2 linked regions of the Drosophila melanogaster genome follow. The protein of the gene in region 1 interacts with the protein of each later gene in a pairwise test. Each region holds a gene or a part of one and is shown on either strand. Other genes may lie near its edges.

Evidence for each region. Proteins that work in one complex are often made in the same cells at the same time.
Region 2: the proteins of CG34267 (region 1) and CG9825 interact in a two-hybrid assay, tested with the Drosophila melanogaster proteins (one large-scale study listed by BioGRID).

The regions. Positions count from the first base shown.
Region 1 is NT_037436.4:499,459-502,405, forward strand, and holds CG34267 (uncharacterized protein), read right to left. Parts: upstream 994-2,947; 5' UTR 916-993; coding exon 904-915; intron 841-903; coding exon 619-840; 3' UTR 556-618; downstream 1-555. Other genes in the region: CG34268 (uncharacterized protein), read left to right, coding at 1,567-1,578, 1,642-1,881.
Region 2 is NT_033778.4:22,835,780-22,839,800, reverse strand, and holds CG9825 (uncharacterized protein), read right to left. Parts: upstream 2,441-4,021; 5' UTR 2,366-2,440; coding exon 2,344-2,365; intron 2,080-2,343; coding exon 1,943-2,079; intron 1,886-1,942; coding exon 812-1,885; intron 745-811; coding exon 520-744; 3' UTR 510-519; downstream 1-509. Other genes in the region: CG12490 (uncharacterized protein), read right to left, coding at 3,254-3,460, 3,542-4,021.

The sequences.
Region 1 (2,947 bases):
CAAGCGTTTTCATCAGCCAACTCTGCAAACGCAAACTCTTTCTCTCGCGTGTTAGTTAGATTTTAACTACCGTTTAAGAAGTATCGTACGGCTACTCTCAACTCTTCGCAACTGAACTCCACTCCGCTCCGCTCCTCTTGGCGTCCATTAATCACCTTCAGTCGGTGCAAAGAGTCAATTCACCAGCGAACAGCCTGCCAAATGTGTTCCACGCAACTGCTCAATCTCCGTATCTTTTGGGTGCCTGGAACGAGGCGCACATTTGGCTTTTATCACTCGATCCGCACCAAATAAACTACAAAGCCCCTAACGCGAAAACAGAGAAAAACGTATTTGTGTTCCAGATTTTGGCGCATTTACGGCTTGCGTAAAAATTTCCGATCGGACCAGACCGAAGAAAATTCTGTTGCAGCTCTTAATGGGTTGTTGGATACAAAAACTCGGCGGGACATGAGAAAATAATCCGCACACACTGCAAATACTGCGAATAAATCACAGAAGTTGTAAACTCATTTGAAGTGCATTTGATTTGAGACAAGTAAGTCAAATATGATTCCTTTTACAAGCATAAACATTTTATTTATTCCCGTGCGATATCGATTGAGCTCTTTCCAAAATTTAACCGTGGTAGATGTGGTGTCCATAGGTGGGAACAGCGTAGGACTTCAGCACAGGGACATGCTGAACCACTGGGACATTCTTCACCACCGGAACGTGCTGCACCACTGGAACAGATTTCACCACGGGCACCACTTGGGCTACAGGAACCACACCGTAGGAGGGCTCAATGTAACCAGGAGCAGCAAAAGCCATTGCTACCAGGGCGAAGATCACAGCGATCTAAGGAGATATTTTGTAATATGAAAAATCACAAGGATTTACTTTATAATTTCGTGAACTTACAATGCGGAACATTTTGGTATTTTCTTAGTAATTTACAAACTTGACTTGGAGATATTGTCACTTGGATGCTTGTAGGACGACTGGTGATGCTGACCAATGGATCAGTTACTTTATATAGCCAAAAATCACTTCAATAACAACTTCTAAATGGGCAAACGTGTTTGGCCATAATTCTTCTGTTTAATTGAGAGAATGGATTTATCAGTTGACCCAAAGGTGCCTCATATAGGTCTTTTTTTGTGGACATGACCTTGGTTCTTGGTGATCATCACAAACGCGTGAAGACGATCGATATAATGACAATGGTCTTGGAAGTAAACAATAATAAGCACACGGATCTAAAAACAGCAAACAATTGAGAAGTCATTGAATGGGGATTATGTCCAAAGGTTAAGCAATAACGACCGATAACGGGAAGTTCGCCGCTGGAGATGGTTTCATACCAAATAGAATGCGCATTATTCGAAGATACCAAATTTAAGATAATTAAACTGGTTTGGCGCGTGGCGTTCGAACAGAAGTCATTTGTGGGCTATTTTCGGCTGAGGTGCTAACTACTATATATAATGATTCCACGGATGGTCAATCAACAACAGTCGTCCGGCTAACACAAACGTTCGATAACCACAAGTTAAAGTTTTTAACTCACAACAAAATACCAAAATGTTCCGCATTGTAAGTTCACGAAATTATAAAGTAAATCCTTAGGATTTTTCATATTACAAAATATCTCCTTAGATCGCTGTAATCTTCGCCCTGGTAGCAATGGCTTTTGCTGCTCCTGGTTACATTGAGCCCTCCTACGGAGTGGTTCCTGTGGCCCAGGTGGTGCCCGTGGTGAAATCTGTTCCGGTGGTGAAGCATGTTCCAGTGGTGCAGCATGTTCCGGTGGTGAAAAATGTCCCAGTGGTTCAGCATGTCCCTGTGCTGAAGTCCTACGCTGTTCCCACCTATGGACACCACATCTACCATGGTTAAATTATTGTAGCACAACCCCATTAGAAATTGACCCGACATAAATAAATTGCCAACCAAATCGAACTTATCTTTATTTTCTGGTATAGAGCGAGGATAAACTTTTGGGTCATGCCATCGGGACTGGCTTAATTTTTATACTTACAATTAAATGATGCATGTTTTTTCCTACATCAAGGAAATAATTCTCGTAAAAATTACGTACCCAACACCCTTTCGTGGTCAGCACTTTCCATTTTACACATTTTATAGCAACTAAAGTTGTCCGCAGACCCCAGTGGTTTCCATGGCTGACTGATTATTTTATGGGACATTTTGTAAAATTTAATTTCACCTCGCTCATTTTGTTATTTGCGAATAGTCACACATAAAGTCGTTAACAAGGCGGCAAGCTTCCAGGGGAAATTTCTTCATTAATCAGCGGAATAAAGTGACGCCTCTAAACTGCAGCTGCATCTTCTCCACCTCCCCCCCTCCCACCACCCCTTACCCGACAGACGTTGCCATTAAAACCCAATCCCAGCTCGTCTTTAATTTGAGCCAATTAAAGTGGCGACAAAGCAAAGCCTTACAGCCCGCTTCAAACACTCTGAGCCAGCCGCCTTTCCCTTTGGCTTTTTCCCCGGTTGCGGTTCGATCTCGTGTCGATGATGAACCTGAATGGATCGTACATTAATTTTTCATTGTTTTTTATTTGGGGCTTTATTCGGGTTATTAAATCGCTGGCTAGAAAAACTCTCAAGCGATTTGGTAAAACAAAAAAAAAAAATAACATCGAAATAAGCAGACAAAAATATAAAAATAAATTGTGTTCGAAAGTCAATTTTGTGAACAGGCTTTTTGGGCCTTTTTTGTGGCAGGTTTTGTTTTTTCTATTGCCAAAAGATTTATTGTTAGCGTTTTCTTCTTAATTTTCCCCACATTTCATTTCGGTTTCGATTTTCAGTTTCAGCTTTGTTTTTCAGCCTGCTGCTACCATTCAGGTTCCACTTCCTTTTCAGTTTAAAGTAAATTTCTCGGCCAGAGTTGGGCAATTTTATTACTCTATTAGGGGGAAAAAATAGTAATT
Region 2 (4,021 bases), on another chromosome or scaffold:
TTAAATTTTTGTTCCAAAGAAACCATAAAGGTGTGTACCATTTAGTGATACTGTGGGCATTGCCAATTTTTTTTATCACAAATCATATGGCGAGAAGTGCAATGACGAGATCGTTGTACGTAAGATAATATTTTTAGGTCTTCGCAAACGGCATCTTAAAAATGAACTGCAGAACTAAATGCTCTATAATTCAGTCTACTAGCGACGGTAACTAAGGGAATTTTAAACACAAGAATATGTCTATATTTTCGAGCAATCAAAACAATAATAGCTGACTAGCTCTTGAGACTGCGGACTTGTAATTAAAAATATTTAGTGATGTCGCCCTCAATGGCATTTTCAAAATATCAAGAATAACTCAATTTGAGTGTCAGTTATAGATAAAAGAATCGTTTGCTATCTCTCTACCAAGTTATGATTTTTAGACCACTAAAGTGAACAAATAAAAACCAAATGCTAAAATGTAAATTTGGTTATCCAGACTAGTCTAAAAAATAAATGCGTTAAATGGGTTAAGAATTAATGGCTTTTACTATTAATTTTCTCTTTGGAATTTTCGTTAATTGGAAAGGATAACGCCTGCATAGGTGGTCTATTGGCAAGTTCCGGGTTCTGTGTCTGCAGATAGTCCTCGGCATCCCAGGGCTGAGTTTCGGCCGTGCCAAACACCAAGTAAATGCAATTGCCCACAAAGAAGATTACGGAGGCAATGATGAACACGATCTGCCATTGGGAGCGATCAGACTGAAAGGAAAGGATACAATAAGCAATTAAAAATCTTTACTTCCTACCAACTTTTGCAAGCACTCACATTTTCCTTAACAATCCATCCAACAACTAAAGGAGTGACTATGGGCACGAAATTCGCCGCTGTATTCACAATTCCCATTAGAATGCTAGCGTGATTTTTCGATAGATCAATTGTGTTTAAAACACTGCCAATGGTTTGAGCACTATTCACGCCCACACTGATGGTCATCAGAGCAATCGCGAAGTTCTTTTGTTCCTTGTCCAAAAAGCCAATGCCCACCAAAGTGGCAGCAGGAATCCAGAAGGCAATGGAGTTGTAGGTCTTTCTCAAAATCGTCAAGGACACCGAGTTCTTGCCCAAGAGCACATCGGCTACGACTAGGTAAATATACGACATGCACCACATGGCCAAGAATGGGAGTGCCGAGAAGAACGCATTGCTCTTCATGTCCATGTCGAGGACTCCGTTCATATAGGATGGGATCTCGGCCTGCAGAGTGCTCAGTCCCCAGTTCTCAGCGCATCGTACTATGAGCAGGGCCAGGAATGGTGCCGACGTCCAAATTGCCTTCCAGGGAATGGGTATAATGGTAGCGTGGTATGACTCATTGTGCTTTAGAGACGACTCAATATAGATCAGTTCGTTCTCTCCTATGAAACGAGATTCCGTAGGATGGTTGGCAGCGAAGACGAACCATAATGTACACCAGAAGAAGGCCACTCCAGCCGAGACATATGAGATTCCGGGCCATCCCAGGGAGCTCTTGGCTATCATTCCGCTCAGGAACATGGCACTCACATTGCCGCACTCGATTCCAGTGTGACTCAGAGCTCCCAACCGATTTCTTTCCTCGGGCGGTGACCATTTAGCCAGGTGCTGATGAATGCAGGGGAATACCACTCCCTGGGCCAATCCCATTAGAACTCGAATTCCACAGTAGGCCTGCCATTCTCCAAATCCGATGAACAGCGGCGTCAAAGCACTGCAGACACCAGATCCGAAGACACCCCAAAACATTACACTCTTGACTCCAAAGCGCTTGCAGAGATAACCTCCAAGGAATTGCGTTAGGATGTAGCCCCAAAAGAAACTGGAGAGAATGTACGACTTCTCTGCCTCCGTCCAATCGTATTCCTAGTAGAGAATCTAGTAAGCTAAGTGGTATTTTCTTGATAGGATCCCTATTCTTACCGGAAAGTTCGGGTTCGTGGTTTCCGCATTGGTCATTGCCACCACAGACACGCCCACATTTAGGCGGCCTATGAATACGGTAGTTATATTGAGGAAGATCAGTAGCGCCTGGACATGCCTCATTCCCAGAACGGGTCCTGCAATAACAAAACGAACTGGTATTATCACTGTTACTTCCTGTCTACAAACAGTTGGGTAAATAAGTCTGAATTGCTCTTGAGACTCGGTTATCGCGCCATTATTGTAGTAATTTATGACCACTCAATGCGTGTGCGAAAAGCCCAGAAATCAGACGGAGTGCAAGGTCTGAGCCATGAAGGGGTTTTCCACTGTGTCAAGTTCGTTGGGTGTCAATTCATTCACAAACTCTTATCCGAACCGAAGGATTTCCTTTCACGCACCTTTGTTTGTCTCGGCCGTCATTTTTGATTTGGTCAACAAAACACCTCCTGACTTCTTTTAAACGACCGATCGGAATCACTGTGGGAAGTTAAGTGAGTGAGACCACGAACATAGAGTGGATTTAAATCCAAATTGAATTAGACGATAAGCCAAATGTTGCTTATCTGATACGACACGTCAGGTGATAAGGTCATACAGCGGGCGAATTTAACCATTGAATTAAAAAGCGTCATTAAAAAATTGTTGTACTTTACAAACTAGTTATTATGTCATTAGTCAGAATATTGTAAATCAATCAATAAATCATTATTTTCATCCATTTCTACAATTCTAGTAAGGATTCTGGCACGATTCGGTAAAAGATAGATGCCACATAAGCAACATGGCCTAAAATGTTAGCGCCAAAAAGAATGCATTGCTTTTTCATGGCCATATCGAGAACCCTTTTTCGAATAGGTGGGCATTTCGGCCTTCAGGTTACTTAGTCAAGAAAGAAGCCAAGGTTTTGCACCTTTAATAGTTAATTTTAGATATCTTGACGAAAATATCCTACCTGCAGTTCCTTTTCTACTGTTAAACGAGGTTGTTTAGAACAGCATTGCCTGGTCGTGTGGCGTTCCAAAATCAATTGGTAATATCAAGAGTAGTTACTGCCATACCATTATTGGATTGATTTATGGCCGCACCTTTGGTAAATTTGACGACTTTTGATAAGCAAATAACGCTCAAACATTTTAATTCAAACAAATCGTTTTACTTATACGTTTAATAAACAAATGAAATGTACTGATGTAGATCTTAAATCTTATTAAATTTAATAATAATACTCTAAATTATTTTGATTGCTTTGTTGTTTTAAATAGTTTCTATGTTAACTGAAGACTTAAGTGCTATCGATAGAACTTCAATTCAAGGACTTCGTGGAAGGTCATCAATACCTTTACCAGCTTCATGGATAGCTGGAACTTTAGCTAGCTCTGGCACCTTTACTGTGAGGTAGTCTTCAGCATCCCAGGGTTGTGAAACAGCCGTTCCAAAGTATAGGTACACCGAGTTTCCGACAAAAAAAAGTACTGCCGCAATTATGAACACTATCTGCCACTCAGCACGGTTATCCTGAAACAATCAACAGAAAGTCTTCTTATTTATACTTATTTATCACTGCCCTGTTTATAAACACTAACAGTGCAAACTTACGTCTTCATGAACAATAACTCCAACAATCAAAGGGGTTACTATAGGCACTACAGTAACAGCCGTATTCAAGATTCCCATTAGAATACTCGCATGATTCGGGGATAGATCTATGGTGTTCAAGGAGCTTCCGATTGTTGCTCCACTGTTGACACCGACACTGATGGTCATCAAAGCAATTGCCAGGTTCTTCTGCTCCTGATCCAGGAATCCGATTCCAATCAAAGTGGCACAAGGAATCCAGAAGGCCAACGAGTTGAAGGTCTTCCGGAGGGCCGTTAAACTCAGCCTGTTTCCGGCGAGCAGAACATCGGCGATTATCAGGTACACATACGACATAATCCACATGGCCAGAAATGGTAATGCCGAAAAGAATGCATTGCTTTTCATGTCCATATCCAGAACTCCGTTCATATAAGTTGGGATTTGGGCCTGGAGGGTGCTCAGACCCCAGGTCGCGCAACAACGCGTCAGCGTAAGAGC